3 linked regions of the Tribolium castaneum genome follow. The protein of the gene in region 3 binds, or shares a complex with, the protein of the main gene of each other region. Links are inferred from orthologs where the notes say so. Each region holds a gene or a part of one and is shown on either strand. Other genes may lie near its edges. The genes, in order: MED23, MED7 and MED16.

Region 1 (8,346 bases), on a different chromosome or scaffold from region 3:
ACGAAATAATCGGTATGGTGTTATCAAGAGAGTTGTAACTACAGAAAGCCACCACGTCTTTTGAATTTATCCCTTTCTTCTTCAGGTTTATTGCTAGTCGAGTCGTTCGCTGTTTGACACTAGAGTAGGTTTCGGACTGATCCAGATCAGCATCTATCTACAATTTTTTAACAACTAAATTATAATATTTGCCTTGAATTAATTGATACTTACGTGGCAAATTTTATTGCCGTTTTTCTCAGCATAATTAAAGAAGAAATCGCCTAAACTTGTGTTGTCTAAAGTAGGTTTGAATTCTGCACCTTGCAATATATTGTTTCGCATCATGTTGACACTTTAAAGGTACAAGAAGGAAGCAGTGTGTCTTATAGTTTTCGTCAACTTTATATAAGTTATCTGTCTTCATAAAATGACTAAGCGAAATCTTCAATAGATAATCAGCGTCAACTATTATGCTGTGTGTGGTAACAAAGTAAAGACTATACCCCTGCTCTAGTTTTAACGCAAATATCACACAAAGAAAAGGAAAACAGCATGACAATTGCTTTCAAAGTATGAATAAACTTTGATAGGAGACAACATAGTCAACAACTTTATGTACAAGATCAATAAACTGAAATAATGTTATCAAGCATTTATTTAATAAATCAAAAACTGAAAAAAAATGTGTATTAGCTGTGGCATCAGGCTTTTCTACGGGTGCATAATTTGATTAAAAGAAATCCACTTTGTGCAATTTATTTAGATAAAATTTGTGTTGATATTATATAGAAATCTGCTGCAATAAGTAATAAAGTGTGAATACTCTGTAGCATTAATTAAACTAATGTAGATGTTTACATGCAAATAGCTGCAAATTTTCTTTTTCTTCTTGCAATTCGATTTAATTATAATTGAAATTTATTAAAGTTGTTTAAATATGTATAAAAATAAATACTTAAGCTAAAATCGTGTTTGCGTAAAGATAATTAGGTATATTGCTCAAAGAAAACAGAACTTTGGACATAATAATGTATTTGGTTAATACTAATCTTATTTGCTTAATAAAAAATGTGGTAATCATGTGAATGTTATGTATGTAATTTTTATAAAATACATTAGGTAATACCTAACTATTGTTTTTATATTTACATCACTAAAAATAATGGTTGTTTGTCTAGACAAGTTGTTAAACAGATTTTAAATTAATATAAAATGTACGTTTAAGGAAGATTCACATTTTTTTTAGAGTGGGGGCAATGTGTTTCAAATTTAGAATTAAAGAAAAATTAAATGAAATAAACATTTTGTAATAAAAATAAATAAATAAATAACTCAAAAGCGATTTCTATTAAAGTGGTTTGGTATAAAAAAAAACATTACTAATAACAAAAAATTTTTGAAAGTAATTAATTAATAATAATTATTATAAGGATTGGTTTACAGAAAGCAAATTAAAAATTAATCCAAAATTAAACTAATTCGATTTTTTATGTCTTTTATAATGCTTGCAAACTGTATTTGGACTTCCAAAAATTGTATGTACTTAGTAATAAGGGTACAATAATGTAGAAATTGTTTCTTTTTAATTCATGCAGAACACAGAAGCTATCGATAAATACCAAATTTTCTTCACAAGATGAGAACCTAGTTTAGGGAGAAAAGGCTCAATTATTTTGTATGTGAATAAAATTAAGAAAAACGGTAGAAGAAAAATGACACGAAGTAATAGTATTGTATGTTCGTAATAATTATACCTATTGATAACAAAAACAATCCTCTTGTTGTGTTTTGTTCCGATAACAGATAAATTATTGCTAGAGCTAAAAGAAAAAACGAAATATTGATAAAATCGGTTTAAATAACAATTTTGTAGATATTGATAAGATTCCGCGCCTGATTAGGCACAAATGCAACACAAAATACACTCCACAAACCATACATTCTGATTTTATATCTGTTTGTTAATTTTTTTCTTTATGAAATTTGCCGAACTTGAAATTTCAGTGAGGTAACAGGGGTAATACTTTTTTTTAACTGTTTGTCTGTTACTTTTACTCCCCATTTCTAACACAACTAGTTGTGAGTGTAGGTAATGCAATGAAATAAAACGAGGTTTTAACTCAATAATTTAATAGTCATTGAAAATATGGTAATTACACAAATTGTCTCCTAAAATTAAGCATGGAATGGTTACAAAAGAATCTCATTATAGGCATCTGTGCGTAAAGTAGTACCACCCAATTCTAGTACAACTTATGTAAAAATACACTTTATACATGATAAAAATTCTGATAAAATTATATTCCACAAACGATAAATTTACAAAATAAGTATAGAGAAAACAACAAAATGCAATAACTGAACAGACACGGTTTATACACGATAGGAATTGAGCCTTTGAGGGAAGCCTAGCCTACGCCATCCGAATGGACTGGATAATCTGGAAAATCGCCGATCCGCACACGACGAAGATGAACAGCGCCAAGATCATGGGCCCCACTGGCGAGTTTTCGCTTTGCTGCTTCTGCAAAAGGGGCACCGTCAGCTCCCCATCAACAAACAATATGGTCCAGCGTACTCACCGACGATTTGGGCACATTCCCTCGCAAGACCACGTTCTTGCTGGCCTTTTCGTTGGCGAAACGCATCCGCTGTTTGGGAGCCATCGTTCACAGGAAAAAAATACGGAAAAGTGGAAATAATTCAACAGAAAAACATACACACGCGTTTTTGACACGTCCGTGCCTCGACACTGGCCCGAAAAGTGCGGAGAGGGGCAAGGGAGGCGCTTTTTTGACGTTTATTTGACACGTAAGATGAAAATGCGCATGCGCCACGGACGCGTGGAGAATTTCAAACAAGGGAGGGAGTGCTAGAAATTTCCAATGGGTTCATTCAATTTGCAATAATTTATGATAATCAAGTATATGCCTAGTTTTCTTGGTCATTTTCCTATCTTCTATGCATTTTTTTCAAACATCAAAAACAACGTTGAATTTGACTTTTTACCCTGATTTTTAACTCAGATTTTTCAAAAAACAAAAATTTTAAGGTGCATTTATTTCGGCACAAATTTTACATAGATATTGTAAAGGTTTCGTTACTTTTTTGTCAGTATTTTATGCGGTAAATTATGGGAACGTCGTTGAAAGTTACGGATCTTCTGGGTGTGTTTGCGGGAGCGATTCGGTTCGTAATTAAGGACAAGCGTCTCAGACTGTTTCTGAAACTATTCATTCTTGAAAAAGTCCTTTCATTCATGGCATTGGCATTAGCCATGTTGTTGAGGAGCTTTAGCGACATTTCAGGGATTTTCAAAGAGTGGACTTCGGGATTATTATCCAGCCAAGTCAATAATTGTTTCATAACTTTCACCTGTTGGTCAGGAGTGACCTAAAGAAGGATAATTGCACGTTTAATTGCAACAATTAAATTGTACCTTTGTTAGGGCTTGTCGAATTAAGAATTCATCTTTCGTCGACATCCAAATAACGGGAGTTCTTTTGCTGCAAAGCCACATGTAGTTTGATTTCCCAAAAATACTTTCCGCACATTTAATTTGTTGAGCGTGCATTAAAATTTGCACCTAGGGAGAAGAAACAAATAAATTAAAACGATTTAAATGAGTGACACCTCACCTGTTCTATGAACTGTGAGTTCATATCGAAATGTGAGACAAAAAGAACTCTTTAAGCGCATAATGAACGAGACGTGCGGTAATAATATTGCCTTTATTAAAAGATAAGCAAACAAATTTTCACGTATGAAGTGGATATGCAAATAAACGAATAGATTCGGGCTGATATGAATTTTATTACAATGTGGCTAGGTATGGAATAATTTAGATTGACGTTGTTTGAGAGTTGATAACATCTTACAACGCACGCAATTATTTATTATCTCTGAGGATTCACCCAGCAAGTCAAAATAATCGAATACGGTTCTGCAGTGTTAGGCGCTTGTATAATGTGTTGCCTAAACATGTAGTCGGCCAAACATAACCTACCGTTATTATCCCATTCAAATAACCACAAAATAATGTTTTCGCCTGAAAAATAACCGTGGACACGATGGGCGAGCCACTAACAAACGTCCTAACCGACATTCTCAAAGTTGAAGGCATCGAAGAAGCCTTTAGTTGCTTTCTAGTGCACCGCCCCAGTGCCGAAAAGGAAAAGGTGGCTGTATGGCAACAAGAGTTGAACACAGCCCTGCGGAGCATCCCCCAGGAGCAGCTAGACACCGCCCTTCGCCAGTACCTCAACACTGCTGTACTATGTTCCCAAAGCAAGCTCCAGCTCTTGATGGAGCTCCTGGAAAGTGTCGTGCGCAACGGTACCATTGGGGCCCGTATCGTGTGTGAGGTGGTGATGAATTTCGATAAACTACAACACACCAATGCGCGGTTCTGGATCGAGTGCTTTAAACTCGTGCGGAAAATTATAGATTTGGTTGAATACAAGGGCGTTCGCGAAATTATGAAAGTAAGTGGGGAATTGTTGTGGTAATTGTTTGATTGTTGATTGTAGGGATGTTGCGAGAAGGCGAAAAGTCTCCCCTGGCGCTTGAACGCGGGCTTGCAGCCCCAAACCCAGGCTCTTTTAAGCGTCGCTGAACGAATCATGGACAGGAACGCGTGCCTCCTGCCTGGCTATCTCCTAGTGAACGAGCTCCAGAAGGCCTACCCTGACTGCCCCCACTGGCGCCTTGCTGCCCTCTTCTCCGATTACGTTGGCAGTTTTCGGGCCTGTGCCCAAATGGTGGCTATCGTAGGCCAGGCGGAAATGCGGCCAGTTGTGGAGCACAGCGGCTGTCCCGAACACTTGGTCAATCCCTGGAAACTTGACCCGTGCACGTTGCGATTCTCGCTTAAGGGCACTTTACCGTACGCTCCCGAATTACTAGAGAAGCAAACCGGTTTATTACGATACGTTCTGGAACAGCCGTACAGTCGCGACATGGTGTGTGGCATGTTAGGGTTGCAGAAACAGCACAAGAGACACTGTGCCGCCCTTGAGGAACAACTGGTCGAGTTGGTGATTTTGGCGCTGGAACGCACGGAAAATGAGGGCGATGAGAGCGCCACTCAAGGGTTATGGCTGCACTTGTCGTCCCAGTTAATTTATTTTGTTCTTTTCCAATTTGCGAGTTTCCCAAACATTGTTATATCGTTGCATTCGAGACTGCAAGGGCGCGACTTGCGGAGAGGGCGCGACCAACTCATGTGGGTCCTCTTGCAGTTTATTTCCGGTTCGATTCAGAAGAACCCCCTCTCGAATTTCCTCCCAGTTTTGCGGCTTTACGAACTGTTGTTTCCGGAACAGGAGCCCCCTTTGCCCGTTCCGGACTTCAACCAGCCCCAGTGTACGAGACAGATGGCAATGACGTGCATTTGGATCCACTTGACTAAGAAAGCGCAAGCCGAAATGACCAACTTGACTTGGCCAATTCCCGCCAAACTACGCAACCATCATGATTTCCTCCAACAGTTGGTGCCCCCTAATAACACCGTGTTAGCGATGGGAAATGACTACAGAATCGCCTTGTTGTGCAACGCCTACTCAACGAACCCCGATTATTACAGTAAGCCAATGGCAGCGCTAGTTGAGACGATCCAAGGGAGCCCCAAATCAACAGCCCCACCTACCGCGCCTTTAAGCATGGCCGTCTTGGACTCATTAACTGTGCATTCGAAAATGAGCTTAATCCATAGTATTGTCACACACGTGATTAAACTAGCACAGGCCAAGTTAGGAATGCCACTATCACCAGCTTTGGTGGAAACGTACAGTCGCCTGTTGGTGTACACCGAGATCGAATCGTTGGGCATCAAAGGGTTCATAAGCCAGTTGTTGCCAACCGTATACAAGTCACACGCTTGGGGCACCCTTTACACACTTCTGGAGATGTTTAGTTATCGGATGCACCACATCCACCCCCACTACCGTGTCCAGTTACTCAGCCACTTGCATTCGTTGGCAGCGGTGCCGCAAGCCAACCAAACCCAACTGCACTTATGTGTCGAATCGACCGCTTTGCGTCTAATCACGGGGCTGGGCAGTGGCGAAGTTCAGCCCGAACTGAGCCGCTTTTTAGCCGAACCCAAGACGTTAATTTCGGCGGAATCGGAAGAGTTGAATCGGGCGCTGGTTTTGACCCTAGCTAGGGCCACGCACGTGACGGGGGCCGACGGCTCGTGGTGTCACGAGTTGCTGGCGACCATTGCACAAAGTACCCCCCATGCGTGGGCCCCCCACACCCTCGAATGCTTCCCCAGGGCTCTGGCCGAGTTTTTCACGCAACATGCCGTCCCTAAAGAAAACAAACAACAATTGAAGAAAGCAGTGGAGGAGGAGTACCGGAAGTGGTCGTCCATGAACAACGAAAATGACATGATGGCGCATTTTGGGGTTGCGGGAGCGCCCCCACTTTTCCTCTGTTTGTTGTGGAAAATGCTCCTCGAGACTGATCACATCACGCCAATTGCCTACAAAATCCTGGAGAGGATTGGGGCAAGGGCGCTTTCGGCCCACTTGAGGAAGTTTTGTGATTGTCTCGTGTTCGAGTTTAGTAACAGTCCTGGGGGGCAACATGTTAACAAATGCGTGGATACGATCAATGACATGATCTGGAAGTACAATATTGTGACAATCGATCGGTTGGTCTTGTGTTTGGCGCTGCGGACGCAGGAAGGGAGCGAGGCTCAAGTCTGTTCGTTCATCATCCAGTTGGTGTTGCTTAAAGCTACAGAGTTTAGGAATCGGGTGCAGGATTTCGTCAAAGACAACTCGCCCGATCATTGGAACCAGACCAACTGGCACGAGAAACACTTGGAGTTTCACCGGAAATACCCCGAGAAGTTTGCCCCCGAGGAACAGTCAAGTGGTTACCACCCCTATTTTGGCAACGTGTGTTTGCGCTTTTTGCCGGTTTTTGATATAGTGGTGCACCGGTTTTTGGAAATACCGCAAGTCACCAAAAGTTTGGAGATTCTGTTAGAACACTTGGGTTGTTTGTACAAGTTTCATGACCGTCCGGTCACTTATTTGTACAACACTTTGCACTATTACGAGACTAGGCTTAGGGACCGTCCACCTTTGAAACGACGGTTGGTGGCTGCTGTCTTAGGGACACTCAAAGACAGTCTTTCGGAGCCCTACCAACTGTACCTCGGACGAGCTGCTGACGAGATGTGGACCCCCGAACTGGACTATTACATACAAGTGGTCAAGCGAGTCGTTGATATTCTAGGGGGCGCCACTGCCAATTCCGTAATTGATTGGCGGTTCAATGAGTTCCCAAACGCCGGGGCTCATATTCTTTACACCAGCTGTGTGGAACTGATGGCGTTGTCCGCCGGTCCGGTGGCCGTAGCCAACGGTTTGCTAGACGTCGTGGCCAAAGGCTATGTCACAATTCCCTCGTCAGACATCCACCAGTGGGTCAATGCTGTTGGTTTAATTCTGGCAGCGCTTCCAGTTAGCTACTGGAGTGTTCTACACGATCGACTTGTGGCCACGTTAAACGAGCTAGAAACGTGGAATTTTGACTGTTCTCCCTTCCGTTTGTTCGATTTCAAAGAAACCCACGCTGGGCTTTTGCATAATAATTTTAGTTATATGCTAGCTTTGGCTCATTCGGTTTGGCATCACGCTGGTCCGGGGCAGATCGCCAGTGTGCCCCGATGGGCGCGTGAGTGTTTACCGGCTGTGGTACGGTCCGAAGAACAGTTTCTCTATGTTTGTCATCTTGTGGGGCCCTTTTTGCAACGGTTTAACGTGGCAATAGTGGAATTGACGAGTGCTTTGTACGAACTGTTGGCACAAGTTGACCACGCGCACAGCGAGTTGAAATATATGGACCCGATCTGCGATCTCTTGTACCACATTAAGTACATGTTTGTGGGGGATAGCATGAAGAAGGAGTTGGAGACTGTGGTGCGCCGGTTAAGACCGCCTTTGCAAATGAGGTTGAGGTTTATCGCACATTTGGCGATTGAGGAAGTTAATGCATCGTAACTCACTTGTATTATGTTTTTACATTTACGTAAATACATTTTTATAAAAAAATAAAAAACTTAATCCGATTCACTCTCCCTTGAACTTGGAAAATCCGGTTTCGCTAAAACAGTTTGTTATTTAATTGGTAACATTTCGTCGTTACATACCTTGTTTGGCCAATTCTTGCTGTTTTTGCTCATTTTCTATATATTTGGTCTGTTCGGCAATCACCGATTGGCTGTCGCTACAATTTGAATATACCTCCAATATATTTTTATTCAGTTCGATAAATGAATGTCCCCACGAAAATTTATCTAAATACTGCCGAGCTAATTTTTTGTATCCGGTGATGTACAAAGTTGCG
Region 2 (6,889 bases), on a different chromosome or scaffold from region 3:
TGGACAATAAAGATTATTATTATTATTATTATTATTAAAAGGAAGGCAATAAAATAAAAAAAAACAAAACAATGGTACGCAATTCACATCACCCGTTGTTGCACTTGCTTACAAAAATAAAAATTAACTGGGTATTTAGGTAGGAATGTATTTATTTATAATTTATTATTATTTATTAAACAAAATGTTGCAGTACATAATATTCAATAAAATCTTTCTTATGAAGGTTGCCAAATTATAGCAGTGTTAGTTCGCCATTTTATTTTGTACAACAGGTTAGTCACGGAACCACATCTTTATCAGGTGTTTTTTGTTTGATTTACAACAACTTGTCTCGCATACACCGTTAAATCTGACGAGATAAATTAAATTGTGTCGGCTCGTTTCAAAAACTTGCTTATCTGGCTGTAATTTTGAGCCCCTTAATACTGCCAGCATCAATCCTTCCACATAATCGTCATTGTTAAATGGTAAGGACATAACGTTTTATTGTTTTTTTCATCTTCTTCCAAATATTCCTCGAATGCGTGTATCATTAAAATCGACAGAACTATAAATTAGAATACAGCTAAGAAAAAATCAATCATCTTATGATTGAGAATTCGTTCCCTTAAAGTTTTATATTTTGTTTCCCAGAGAATGACGCACGGAAATATAAAATTAAAATGGCTTTTATTTTCTTTCTGAGTTTGAAACCACAACATTTGACAAATTCAAAGTGTTATTATAGAGTTATCCCATTTGTCAGTCTATGAATCATATCGAAAGCGGTGCTTGAAATGTGTCCCAAAGGTTCGCTTAGCGTCGTGGCGCTTCTTGATTTATGTCGTCGCCAGTGTTGAAATGCCTCCCGAGGTTTCATATCATGCTGATGCGACGCGCTTTGAATTTTTATATTGCACACTATTCCAAATAAATTGCCACCATTACTTTCATAATTATTGCTCTTCTTATCCCCCACTTTTAAATCTTTAACTTACCTTTTACTGTAAAATATCTTATTAAAAAAATAATAAATGAAAATAAAAACTTTTTTTAAATGTTTCTGTCCTTAATTTTTTGTAACGTGCTCTCAATTAAATCGGAGATCAAAGTGACCGGGATTTTGAAGTTGGCAACATTGAAGATAGCTTTTTATTCAGTGTTACAAATTTAAAATATTATGAAATAATGTGTCATAACTCACAACTTCATACTATAAAATTACTTTTGATTTATTAATTTAATATACACTTGGTTCACGAAGAACGAACAGAATGGTAGGAATTTAATTGAAGGTATTTATTTAAAAGATGAAACTTTAGTAAAAGTTTGCATCTTAAATCCGCCATTACTGGTAAAAAAATTATTACGTAAATCACCCTTTTAAATTTAATTATGGATGTGCCATCTATCGCTCAGTAGTTCAAACCCTGTGCCTTGTAACAGTTTCCTTCAATACCGGCGATTCAAAATGGACGATGGGCACGCTAAAACAACGATGACCGGTTTGTGATCAAGTTTGTGTAAATTATCGAATAGAATTACATAAAAACGCCACGAAATTATTTCATGTTTTATACCACATTTCGACTAATAGATTTATCGAAAAAACAGTAAGATGAGTGACAACTTGGAGAAGTTATACGAAAAGTATAACATTTTGTCAGATGCCAAAGACAAGGTCTCCCAGGTGAGCACGACATTTTTCCCCCAGTCTGGTAAAACATGAATTTGCAGCATTCAAGCGAATATGTCGAGAGCTTTGAAGGTATTAAAGGCACCGAAAGCGAGAAAATGCTGGCAGCACAAATACTTTCAAAATTTTTCAAACACTTCCCCTCACTGCAAGATAAAGCGTTGAATGCGTTGCTGGACTTGTGTGAAGATGAGGAGAGCAAGATTAGAGCTTGTGCCATGCGGTATTTGGTTTCAATTTGCAAGGACGTGAAGGAACATTTGACTAAAGTCACTGATATCCTTGCCCAAATGATGCAGTTGGAGGAACAGCGAGACTTCACAACTGCGTCTTGGTGTCTTTTGCAGCTGTGGAAGCAAGACTCTGCTAATGTTCTTAGGACCATGTACAATCATATTCGCTCTTTAAGCAGCGCTGCAGCTAGAGTTAAATGTCTCCAATTTATTCACTTGAAGTTTATCAAGCCCATTGAAAGCCAGCCGACAGAAATCGAGAACATTGTAGTAGAAGAATCGAAAAAGCTTTTACAAGTTTGTCAACTTTCCAAAATGAAGTGAAAAAATTTATTCATGTAGTTGCAGGATGATATTAGCTCTGAGGAAATCGTGTTGATAATAAGTTGCTTAAAAAATTCAAAATACGCTAAAACGGCCGCAGGTCAACAAGAACTGTTAGATTTCATTTCCGAAATCATGGAACTTGACCGGGATTTTGACCCGCTTGAAGACTGCATTGTTGACAGGGTCATTATTTGCACCACACATGCTTTACCATTTTTTTCAGTAACAATTTTTTCCCATCTTGTCACCTCTCTAATTGTGTTTTTTAGGCAAAAAACGAGTCAACAAAATTCGTGGCTTATTACTGCGACCAGATTCTCCCCCAGTGGGACAAAATCGCCACTCTGGAGCAAGGCGAATTATTCCAGCTTCATCTCCTGCGGCACTTGGCCGAGCTTAGCATCTATTGCGGAAAGTTCGAAAACCCCTCCTTGCACGTAGTCCAAATTTTCGACAAAATCAAGCTGTACATGCCAACGCCTCCCGAAAACGCCGATGTGTACAAAATGCCCAACTTGGAGTTCTCCTTTGTAGAGTGTTTGTTGTTCGCGTTCCATCGCTTGGCTCGACAGTGCCCCGATTTTCTCACTCATGATCCCCAAATATTGAAAGATTTCAGAGCAAGACTGGTTTATTTTTCTAGAGGAGTGCAAGGTTGCAACAAAGTTCTGAACTCGAAGCCGATCACAGGCCTAGATTCCGTGAACGCTTCAAAAGCCAAAATTGCGCCCTCGCTACTCAACAACATCAACGTTTTGATCAAAGACTTGTTCTACCAGCCCCCAATGTACAAATGTAACGTCACGCTTTCTTTCAAGCAGGAGGTTGTGGAAAAGGAATTGGTGGGATTTTCGATTTAGTCTTCTAGTCTTTAAAATTAAAATTTGCAGAGGAAACCGGCCACAAGTGGGCAAAAAAGACATGTGCCTATCACGTTCGATAATGGCTCTACAGGGACTAAACAGACCCGACCGGCTCGTTCGGGCGACAACGTTAAATTGTATACACCACCTAGTGGAAAGTTTAGTAATAACTTCCAATACGGTAAATTTTATGGGAAAAATGTCTATTTGTTTTAATGATTGGTTTCAGATCGTGGGGGTTCACGAGGTAACAGGTCGAGAGGCCGTGGCTCCCGAGGAAGGGGCAGAAATTGGAGAAATTAATTTCAATCACCCTTCTAACAGTATTGCAGAAATGCAATTCAAATCATTATGTTCAATGCTTATTAGTAAGTTATCAAAACAATACACAACCCGCTTGTGTTGTAAATACCCTAGATCTTATTTTTTTTAATTAGTTCAAGTTAAAACGTGTGCTGGTTTTAATAGTTTGTGTAAAACCTCTAGAAATTTAACAGAATATGTTTTCTATTGTCTTAGAGTTCAATAAAACATTTGGAAAACTAACTTTATTGCATATCATCCACAATCTTGCACATAATCCTATCCAAAATAAAGCACGGGTCTGATTTGTTGTCCTCCTTTGAAGCCTTCTCTTGGTTTACTAAAAGTTCGGTTTCTACGAGCAACTTTGAGTCAACTTCCATGGGTTCAGGCAGGTTTTGAATCGCTTGTTGCAAAATTTCCATAACTTTGTCTAAATGCTTCTGGAACCTATTGGCGGTCTCAATCCTTTGTCGCCTTTGCAACTCCATCATGACCCTAAGCGTCTCCCTAGCCTGATGTGGCCGGAATTCGTTCAACAAGTGGTGAATGTGAATAAATAACAGACTTAAATCTTCGACTTTCTCAGCCCGCTTTGGCGAGTCGGGACAATTCACAAGTAGGTCTAGCAAGTCCAAGAAATTGGCCAACAATGACTGATTTAATTTTTTCAACTCCCTTCGTCTATCAAAGTGGAGTGGATACAAACGTTTGATTCCCTAATAAAATTATTAGTTTTAACCACGGGACGTATTTAGGGACTTACTTGACTCTCCAAAGGCCTGATTATGCTCTCTTCGGTATTGAAGGCATTGCCGAACATATGATACGTGTCTTGAATCGGAGGCGGCGGCCTGGGGGTTCGCCCCCGCCGGATCATCTCGTCCGTGTAGTGGTTGATGTACTGCATGGGGGGCAGTGGCAGGGAACTCACCTGGATCGCTTCCGACGATGCCATTATTTATTTTAATACAATAATTAAGAAAAATACAGTTGTTGACAAACGACAAATGTCAAAATTACATAAAAACCATCACAAAAACCTAAAATTACTAGTTTATTGGCAAGCCTGTTCCTTTTTCAGTTTGACAGCTGTGGTAATACCGCGTCAAGTAAGCTATTTTTTAAAATTCGTATTTATCTTAATCATCTTTGTAATAAATTTGACGAAAATCAATCACAGATCATTCTTTTTTCCTTTATCGTGAATCTTAGCCCTTTTTGTGGAGTTTAATTCACGTTAGGGTTTGACATGTTTTATAACCTCAACCACGGTTGATTTTAGGATGTTGATGCCCAAAAAGAACCGGATCGCGATCTATGAATACCTCTTCAAGGAGGGCGTCATGGTGGCTAAGAAAGACACCCATGCCCCTAAACACCCCGAATTGGAAAGTATTCCCAACTTGCAGGTGATCAAAGCTTTGCAGTCTTTGAAATCGAAGGGATACGTTAAGGAACAATTCGCCTGGCGGCACTATTACTGGTATTTGACAAATAACGGTATTGAGTACCTGAGGACCATTTTGCATTTGCCGCCTGAAATTGTGCCCTCAACGCTCAAGCGACAAGCTAGGACCGAAACAACGCGTGCTCGTCCCACGCCATTCAAATCAGAAACTTCCAGTAAGCCTGCCGAAGACCGTGCCGGATACAGGCGGACTCCCGGGGGGCCTGGATCTGATAAGAAGGCTGATGTGGGGGCTGGCACCGCTGATTTGGAATTTGTAAGTTATGGTAGGGGTTTTTGACGATTTTTACCACGGTTTGTTACAGAGAGGAGGCTTTGGGAGAGGAAAAGCGCCCCAATAAATTAAGTTTTTTATTACAATAAGGCATGATCAGCAAATAAAACCTTGTCGATCGTTAATTGTTTTATTAATTCCCTTTACTCCTGTATAGAGGACGCCATTATAGACGTCATTGTGACACTTGTCAAAATTGTTTACAATAATACATGTGATTAATTCGTGTAATAATGGGACAACAGAGTTCCCAATTTCACGAGTATTTTAACGATATAATCACGGATGAGCCCGTGCTTACTTTACTCTCTGAAGAAATTCATACTCTTAGTTACGAGAAATTTTTGACAATACTTGGGGAACTCAACCAACTGTAATAACAGTTCCTGTGTGGTTGTTATTCATTGTACTATTTTAGCTCCAAACAGCGTTTAGATTCCGAGGGGAAACAGTTAGTGTTTGCTGTAAAGAAAGGGACAGATTCTACAGTTTTCTGGAAAGCTACGGTGCAAATAGCTTGTGTTAAAATTGACTCTAATACTCAAAAAGTGAGTACGTACCGACTGTTAAACCTTTATGAGTTTTTAAAAGTGTTCAAGACACTTAAATGTCAGTCTTCAGCTGAAGAACAGAGCCGAAAGTATGACTGTTGAGCTAAAGTTTTTTACTGATTTAACTTTTTATTAGTGGAATGTCCGTCTCACAAGTGGTTCACGATATTACGGACAGTCCTGCAGAGAACACAAAAGAATGTTGCATTTGTTTAGAAAGGAAGCATGAAGTTATTTTGCCCTGTATGCACAGTTACTGCTTGCCGTGCATTGAGGAATGGTTTGTTTTTTTGAACTTGATCAGAAATCGGAAAAAAATGTTATTAAAAATCAACTATGATACTTTTGTTATTCAAGTAACTGTTAGATTTTTTTAAGGAATGCCACTCATGACACGTGCCCGATTTGTAGAGAAAAACTGGAAAGTACCGATGACACATGGGTTATATCTGAGGTGCCAGAAGCAGAAGAGATTAGCAAAGAAATCAAGTCCAGTTTGATGGAACTTGCTGAAGACAAGGAATCTCCATGTTTACCTTCTTAATAGTCTGACATATGATTTCATGTTGTTAAATGTTATTTTACGAATTGATAAATACATCTCAAAACATACTGTGTAGTTATTTATTCACGTCAAAAGTGGCGCGATCTATAGGTTCACCAATACCACGACAGAGAAAACAAAACCTAGAATAACACTTATAGAAGCGGAACATAATGGTTGGCAATGAATTCCTAGCTGAAGCCATCTAGCCGCATCATCACGTACTAAAAATGGCGCGAATTTAAAATAATTCCGATTACTTTATATTTTTTTAATTTTTGCTCACGTCAAAATGATGCCAATACCTTATCAAATACAATTATTATGAAAATTTCTTAATTGTATTTGAAAAGGTGGATGCACAGACAGCACAGATGGAAGAATTTTACCCAACATGACACGATCACATTTAATGTTAAAGATATTTATTAAATCCATTAAGTTTACGAAACTAATAGTCGTCACCGAATCGATGATAAAGACATACTTGCAATCAGCCAAACTGGCACCGGTCTGGCACCTTATGTTTGCAACTTCTGTCTATGGGAGTCTCCTCGCAGTGTGACTCACTTGCGGTTCGATCTCAAAAAACTCACTTTTGGGAAAAACGCACCTATCTACGTAAACCTTCTGGAGCCCATTACT
Region 3 (8,346 bases):
CTTTGACATCGCGCAACAACTCGTACACCTTTCCCATGGAAGGACGACTATCTGGCAATTTGACCAATAAATTGAGAGCCAAGTCGGCCACCCATTGGATGAGTTGTTGCAAACTTTGGAGAGTTGAGGGTTCAACGGTGAATTCTTTCGCCTCGAGATGCATCAAAACCTTATCCACGTCGGTTTGTCCTTCCGCAATTACATCTAACAATTACAAAGTTAGAAATCAAATTTTAATCTGAATGATTTACTGACTTGCTAAGGAATCAGCTGGACTTTTGTCATGACTGCTCATCTCGCTTGGTCTTAGAAGGCTTTTAAAGGCTGTAGATATGCTGTGAAGCATCAGGAATTGAGCCAGATCGTGAGCCTTCACTTGGCCTTGAACGCTCAACCTGAAATCCAGATAAATACAGACTATAACTTAGAAGATTAGTAAATGAGATACAAAAACGCTAGATTTTATACCGTCTCGGAGCCAAATCGTTTTAAATTAATTTGAATCTAACCAATTCACTAATTACTTGGAAAACAATGCAAAAGTGTTGAGGTTCACAAACTAAGAAAGTGACGACTAAGAAACATGAGAAAAAAATTATTTAAAATTTAAAATATGCGCTTCGTCCCGTTTTTCAAAACGTTGTGGATACGGTTAGATTCAAGAAAAATGTTAAAAAAAATGTAGAGAATTAAATTTCCTTTAAAAAAGTCAGCGAGACGATAATATCTCCATTGTCAACGGTTTAGGCCCTAAAGAATTTCAAACACGTTGAAGCGAAGGATTCGTTTCATTTTACCGGTGGTCAAGTAACATAAAGTTAATTTATACCTAAACTACAGAAGATAGCGCACTTTTTTTTATAAGAAACTTAATTTTCTACAACTTATTTTGTATCTCGAACCATATTTTGATAAATATGCGACGGTGTGCAAAAAATTGTCGCTTCGAGTTATGAATTAAATTTTTTGTATTATGTTTATGTCTTACTATCTGGCTGCATTTTTTGTTTACTATATGATTACCGTTAAACAAATACAACCATTTTTTTTGCTCTCAAAACTTATACGGAAATGCAAAAAGAGCGCTCTCTGGCAAGGACGGGAACGCTTTATTTGCACATCGTTTCATATCGTAACCACAGACATAAAATCCTAACTTTTAGATATCCGAAGGTAGTAGTACAGACAATTGCTAATTACTTCTAAATTATCTAAATTATAAACTTAAAGACTACTGCAATGTCACAGAAATTACGTGTGTATGCAAAATTTCAGCTTGTTCAGATATCGGAAGATGAATTTTACTCGCAAAATTCGAGGTGTTGCGCCTAAAGCACACATTAAAAGTGTTTCCGGTTCCAATAACAATATTCATCAAAAAATTTGTTTAGTCAGGTATCAAAATATTTTCAAGGTGGTGGCACTTCCGCTTATACAGAAATTGGAAACATTTTTTTTAGTGAAAAGCTATATTCTTTATTGCTTTTTTTTGGCTACTCAAATTTTTCTCAAATATTTTGTGTTTATGTTTCCTTTTGTTTTCTAGATATGTATTTATATTTTTTTAAAACTGTTTAGATTTGCACCTTCCCTTTCAAAAATCGACAACATTGTCATTTATAATATTTCGAAATCGTATTTGGGCATTTAGAAGAGAAAGCTTTATTCCCTTATTGGTGTTTTCAAAAAAGTTAAAAAAAACATTTTAAAGTTACGTTTGGGAACATCTCATTTTTTTTAATGTAACCCTAAGCTTTATAAATAACTTGAAAAATATTATGGTGGTTATAGTTGGCTCGATGCAAAATTACTGGTAGTTTTTTTCTTCATTTAGTAAAGAAAGAATCAATTTGGCAAAATTGTGTTTTAAGTAGTTGAATTTCTTCAAACGTAATCTTTCAAATTTAGAGTTTGTCACTCTTTACGGAATTTAAAATTTGAAAAAAATCTAATCATTTTCTTTGAAATACTCTACAGGAACTTCGATTTTTGAAAAAGAAGGTGCAAATCAAAAAAATATAAATATTACAAAAACTGTTAACTTTGCTATAAAAAAACTGGTAAAAACTCCTTAAAATATCTCGCATAATACAAAAATACAGTAAAATCATAAGCTTTCTATTTAAAACAATAATTAAATAATAAAATTTTGTCACCCAATGTCGGTAAACTAGGAACCTACCTGCATAGCGATATTTTCATGCACAAATACTGCACGTAGAAAAACTGTTGCACTGCCGAGGGCTGGCGATTAAAACTTTCGGTGAGTCGGTCACATATCGCGTCCAACATTCCAGGTCTTAACACTAGCAACAAGTCTAACCAATCAAAACCGCTCATCATGCAATACTCTAAAATCGTGGTACAGTAAGGTACACTTAGAGGCGTTGAGCTGTCGATTTGGGGCGGTAACTTAAACATATGCAGACTATCGTCTGAATCAATCACGAGTAAAATATTGCCGAGCCAGGACATGTCAATGTTTGAGATTTTGATGCTAGTTTTGGGGTATCTGGCGAGAGGTTCGTCAAAATAACGCGGACAAATGGTCAAAGTGGTGCTGACCAAATGTTTTAGAGTGTCTCTGTAGAGGCAATGGATGGAATTGTCGGCAAATGTGGCCACGACATAACCACTTGAAACATTATTTAATAGACTTAGTTTACTTGTAGCTAGTGAAGTGACCTTGCTGTTATACTGGAAGTGGCACTGGTATTGCCACAACTAAAAAATAAGTAAGTATCGATTATCACATGATGAGATAATAGACGTACGACAGTGTTAAAAAACTGGGGAGTTTCAGATTTTCCTAGTGATTTGTGAACCGGCAAAGCCTTCTCTCTCAATTCCCACACTTGCAAACAGCTTATTTTATCACTAGTGGCTGAAACAACCACCGAATCTGCGTCCTCTCTCATTATCCATTTGATATGACTTATGTGGCAATTTTTTTCTTTGGAAACTTGTTCCACTAAAACAAACGTTAAACAACGGCTTAAATGACTCAGTTTGTTACTTAATGCTTCCTTAGGCGCCTCAAATAGAAAAAAACTGAGTAAAGACTGGCTTGTGATGACACACTTATCTTCAGCTTTCCTGACAGAGACTTTATAACACTGAATAGGCATTGATAAGTCTCCGTTACTCACAGCGAGCAAAAAATGACCGTCTACACAATAACATTATTTGGTGTTTAAATGATTTTGTAAAAAACCTACTTTTGCCATAGCAAATATCAGCAGCTTTGATAAAAATCCTAGTAGGGGCCAGGCTTTCTGTCGCCATGACCATTGCGACCTGGCTCGTGCTTTGGGGGAGTAAAATCGAGCACAACATTCCCGTCGTTGTGAGTAGCAGGGCCCCACTGGCAGGGCGCCCCCCAAACTGTTTAACAGAGCAGGCAAACTTGACATGGTGAAACTTTTCCGTGTACAAAGCGCTGTCTTTTTTCTCAGAGTTGAGGCAGATTTTCTTGCCCGAGTGGAAAAACGCCGCTGACAGAATGTGCTCCCCTTCTAGGACAGTCTGGAGGACAAGGGTCCAGTCATTTAGGATGTGGTCTTTAGCTTTGTAAATTTTTATCGAGCCGTTTTCGTCCGCGACTAGCAGAAGGTCGCCCGTAAAGTCCCACTGGAGCACCGAAATGGGGGAAGAGTTTGATAATATTCTGGAAATGGAGGTTTAATACAGGAAAGTGTTTTTGGGGACGTACTTGTGGACCTGCCAGGGACTGTTTAAATCGCAGACGTAGACATTAGAGTTCCAAAAGAGGGAACCCGCTTCTTCGATATTGCATTCCGTGCTGAAAGCAACAACGTTGGAGCTTGAAATCGAGCATAAGGTTGACTTCTCGAGTCTGGAATTCAAACGGTTGGTAAATGGTTAACTTTCGTTTGGGCGGTACTTGGTGAATGATAGATGCTTGCTGGTGTCCACCGATTTATTTATTTTCTTATTAATGGTGAAAATATGGTCCATTTTTCGGTATTTATCTAATGAAGCATCTTTTTAAAACTTTACTGAATTGGCAGATTTTTGACACCTGACAGCTGTCGGGCATACGCGTGAATGTACGCTGACGAGAAATCTTCTATTCTCATAAAATTGCTCACAAAAGTAAATTACGAAGTGTTGTTCGAATTGTGTAAGCTCTGAGTTTAGGTTTGATGGATAGAAAAAAAAATAAAAGGTTAGCGATTAGTAGAGAATTCTCATGAGTGTACATTCTCGGGAGATGCAATACTGGTTGCGCGCGAAACATTGCCAACGTTACGAGGGACAACATAAAAGTATCCAAATACGAGAAGTACCCACCTGGGCGGAGTTTAATTGGATATTGGTGTTTAAATACTGGATGTCTTATTTCAGTTCCTTTTCAAACCTTGCAATAGTAAAGCAAGTCCACATGCGACTGCTTTAAAAACCCCTGATTTAGTAACCTTTTTTTAAAGTAGTCATGCCCCAGTGGGTGCTATAAGAATTTAGCAAACTCTATTTCGTGGAGGTGGTTTGAATAAATTGCAACGAAAATTGTAAAGGACTTTTATTGTATATTCTAAGTGTATAATACAAAAAATATTTTCATAATGGCCTATAACTGTATAAACAATGCCTTTAATAACAATCTTAAAATAATGAAGACATAAGTTGTGACTAAAACAACCAAGAAACAACGCCTTTCATAAATTAGTACCGATTTTTAATAACTGTAGGGCATCTGGGAAATAACGCTAGAGATATCGGATAGTGTCACTTGAGAGGAATGTTATTCGTTTTTAAAAAATAAATGCAAAAGCGTAAGTACTTAGGGGAATTAGGTAATATGCACAAGCAACAATTACACATCGTTTCATTCTTATTGGTAGACACGAATTGTGCGTTTAAAAGTTTCAATCGGGGAAAATTTAACGTTGTCGAATTTCACTATAAAATTACATAAAATCTTAAAATAAATTATTATATAAAGAATATTTAAAAATAGATGAGCCAGAGCGAAGAGCCCCATTCACGATGTATAAAAGGAAGCAAAGTTTAAAATTAAAATCGCAAAATAGTGGTTTGTGATACCTAGTCGACGTGTAAAAATCTGATAAAACTTCACAAACCATTATTTCAAACACAAGCATAGTCACGACAAGAAATAAGAGTACGGGCATATCTATCTATTGTTACATAGAAATAGATATCCACCTCCCCACTAATGGTAGTGTAAGTCAATCGAATTACGCAGCCAGTCAGCAGGGGGGTGGGCGTGACCTCAGTAAGCCGACGCTTCTTTGTATTCTGAACCTTCCATGGTGAAAAAGTCTTCTAATTTCCACTGTAACGTCTCAAACGTCGGCCTTTTCATTGGGTCACGGTTCCAACATTCTAACATGATATCGTAGAGCGGCGCGGGACAGCCGGGGGGCGACGGCATGCGATACCCGTGCTCGACTTGATGCAACACCTCGGCATTGGTCATACCTAAACAATCGACAATCAACAATTTACCGACCAATTGAAATATCTCACCTGGATATGGTATTCTGCCGTATGTGACGAGCTCAGTCAGGAGAATTCCAAACGACCATACGTCGGATTTTATCGAAAATTTATTGTAATTGGCCGCCTCGGGAGCCGTCCATTTTATGGGGAACCTTGCACCGACTCGCGCTTCATATTCATCTTCCTGTACGACAAAAACCGTTAAATGTAGGCCACTTTTCGTTTATGACCCAAATGAGGTCACAAACGGCACATAAAAACCGAAAGACGTTTATGACTGGCGCAGACGGCCCTGACAAACCGAATTATTTTGTCACGGCCAACGAAGCTACCAAACTTTTCACGTAGTAATTAATTTCCGTAAACACGCTTTTTAATTTGGTATTATAACATAACGCGATAAAAAGTACTTTCATTTAAACTTGAAAGCAAGGTTAAATCACTCTTTCTTTTAGAATTACATCGGAAAGTGTTTTTATTAGCGCTAAATTGTTGATATTACACAAAATTTTACTTAATATTGCGTTCATAAAAATCGCAAATGTGTCAATGTTCAATGTTTATGCAAATGATTCATTTTTTAAAAGACTTGACTGCCTTAAAGTACTAATTTGCGAATACAACAATTCAAATAAGCATGGACACACCGACTATTGTTAAATATTTAAATAGATTTGTGTTCAAAAATGGCCTCGTCTCCTATTAGAAGCCCACATTTGCAACGAATTGAATTTCCAATGACGTCACACTGCATTCTAATTTTTTCCAACGACCTGGCCGTGACAAAACGCCAACTGTCGATTTTTTCTGTTCTTCAAGACCAAAATATTTTTTGGAAGCTTATTACTTGCGACGTGAAAAACTCTGTGGTTGTGCAAAATATTAATAATAACCAATTATCAATACAAATTATTGATAGTTGTTTCACAACTATTGACAGTTGAGCCTTTTTATCAGAAAAACGTGACGGCCTACTTCACTTTCTGACGCATCTACTGTTCTTATCTCTTCGAACAGTAATTTGCGGTTTGTGGTCTTATTTATGCGACTATTAAATTCTTTATTTCAGTTGTATAAAAAATTAAAATTTGAACTAATTTTATGCACCGAAACCGCAGTGCTCCCCGCAAAAAATCCAACTTTCAATCTTCTCCGCCTCGCAAAAATTTCTGATAGAATCTTCAAACTTCGAATAAACCACCACTTTCTCCAACTCTTACTTGTATTTTTTCCCATCTTCCGTTTCCGCGTGCTTCTAAATATCATAATACCAACCTTTATAAGCCTGGCGAGTCCGAAATCGGCGATCTTCACTACATTATTATCGGCCACGAGAACATTCCTCGCCGCTAGATCCCTATGTATGTAATTCTGCGATTCTAAATATGCCATTCCGGCGGCTATTTGTGCGGCCATATCGATCAATTGCTGCAATTTCAGACTTTTGCCTTTACCCTGTAGATGTTCCAACAGCGAGCCGTTTCGCATCAGTTCTGTGATGATATAAATCGGTTCTTCAACCGTGCAAACGGCATAGAGTTGGATCAGTTTCGGATGCCTAAGTTTTTTCATGATTTGTGCTTCTGCGAGGAAATCTTTCGGGTCCATCGTTCCAGGTTTGAGGGTTTTTATTGCAACGGGTGTGGTGTTGTTCCACATACCCTCCCACACTTCGCCGAACTGGCCGTGGCCTAATTTTCGGACGAATTTCAGCGAAGAACGCTCGATCTCCCATTGGTCCCTTGTGCGGTGTGATAAGCCCTCCGGCTGGGGTTTTTCGATCTGAGTAACGAGAAAATATCGATCAGGTTCCGCGAAATCAGAAAGGACAGCGAAGGCAAGGGTCATGCGGTGGAGGCGATAAAATAACATTGTTTCAGAGACGATTATTTCAGAAGTATTGACGGAAATGCTTTTCAAAATAATGCAAATTTTCTTATCATTGTTTTACGATGACGGGTATTTATAATTCAGCATAAACTGATTTCGTAACTGCTCTGACAATTTATTTCATAATTTTAATAATTCAGGTCAGTTTGTCATTGATAATTATTACTGTAATATGAATTTTTTCATTTAACAAACAGAAATACATAATTATAATTATAGTCTCATTAGAGTCATAAACGTTAGACAAAATATGGATACAAAATATCGAAAATAAAAAACAACCATTACACTACAATCAAAGTAAAAAATTATAAGTAAATTTGTTATTTTGTTCAAAATTCAAGTTAAAATAAAAGGATGTACATATCAATTGATACATATCTGTTTTCTGTATTTTTTTTATACATTACTTCTCGAATTGTTCCACATTAGTAGGTAAAAATGTATACATAAAAATTAACCAATATGATGATAGAGCTTTTATGGTTACAACAGTTTTATTTTCCTCCCCAGGAAGTAAGCCTTACGGAAAGTAAAATATTTTTCTGTCTACTGATATAATGACATACTTTCTATTATAAAATGAAAAGGGAAGAAAATCACGACTTTCTTATTATTGGTTCAAACCTACATTGTTTTATTAATTTTAACATAGATTTTATCACAGTTAAAAATACAAGGTGAGTCGGTAAAAAATATATTTTTATTTCAGAAACTCAATCATACAGAAAACAGCGTTTGCTATTTGAAGACTTTTTATTTTTCTCTACGCATGTAATTTTTTTTAATTTTTTTGTAGAATTTCATATAATCAAAATCAATTAATTAAGTCGTTAAGGCGTTGCAGACTCACAGGGTATCACGGGATAATATTTTACCATACATATTTTTTATTTGCTTTTGAAAATGTTTTACTCAAAAATGGTACATTTTAAAAAAAAATCAAAAAAAGAGATAAAAAATCGTAAA

What was found.
Region 1: MED16 (region 3) and MED23 share a complex: the UniProt entries of both Homo sapiens proteins name them as parts of the mediator complex. The link is inferred for Tribolium castaneum from reciprocal best matches to the Homo sapiens genes MED16 and MED23.
Region 2: MED16 (region 3) and MED7 share a complex: the UniProt entries of both Homo sapiens proteins name them as parts of the mediator complex. The link is inferred for Tribolium castaneum from reciprocal best matches to the Homo sapiens genes MED16 and MED7.

The regions. Positions count from the first base shown.
Region 1 is NC_087394.1:35,202,311-35,210,656, reverse strand, and holds MED23 (mediator of RNA polymerase II transcription subunit 23), read left to right. Parts: upstream 1-4,052; coding exon 4,053-4,466; exon of another isoform or gene 4,467-4,511; coding exon 4,512-8,000; 3' UTR 8,001-8,059; downstream 8,060-8,346. Other genes in the region: uncharacterized protein LOC657935, read right to left, coding at 1-157, 214-327; stress-associated endoplasmic reticulum protein 2, read right to left, coding at 2,396-2,506, 2,565-2,648; uncharacterized protein LOC658853, read right to left, coding at 8,060-8,103, 8,150-8,346. UniProt on the Homo sapiens protein: Required for transcriptional activation subsequent to the assembly of the pre-initiation complex. Component of the Mediator complex, a coactivator involved in the regulated transcription of nearly all RNA polymerase II-dependent genes.
Region 2 is NC_087402.1:3,006,532-3,013,420, forward strand, and holds MED7 (mediator of RNA polymerase II transcription subunit 7), read right to left. Parts: upstream 4,363-6,889; coding exon 4,171-4,362; intron 4,124-4,170; coding exon 3,650-4,123; 3' UTR 3,635-3,649; downstream 1-3,634. Other genes in the region: cass (apoptosis inhibitor 5), read left to right, coding at 1,601-1,672, 1,720-2,208, 2,254-2,460, 2,508-3,080, 3,129-3,282, 3,331-3,404; small ribosomal subunit protein eS10, read left to right, coding at 4,691-5,131, 5,181-5,216; RING finger protein 141, read left to right, coding at 5,383-5,522, 5,568-5,789, 5,837-5,980, 6,079-6,244. UniProt on the Homo sapiens protein: Component of the Mediator complex, a coactivator involved in the regulated transcription of nearly all RNA polymerase II-dependent genes.
Region 3 is NC_087396.1:16,566,052-16,574,397, forward strand, and holds the start of MED16 (mediator of RNA polymerase II transcription subunit 16), read right to left. Parts: upstream 4,096-8,346; 5' UTR 3,979-4,095; coding exon 3,905-3,978; intron 3,857-3,904; coding exon 3,713-3,856; intron 3,668-3,712; coding exon 3,219-3,667; intron 3,170-3,218; coding exon 3,017-3,169; intron 2,972-3,016; coding exon 2,775-2,971; intron 2,725-2,774; coding exon 2,183-2,724; intron 396-2,182; coding exon 256-395; intron 205-255; coding exon 1-204. Other genes in the region: tyrosine-protein kinase Src42A, read right to left, coding at 5,258-5,466, 5,515-5,671, 6,763-7,269. UniProt on the Homo sapiens protein: Component of the Mediator complex, a coactivator involved in the regulated transcription of nearly all RNA polymerase II-dependent genes.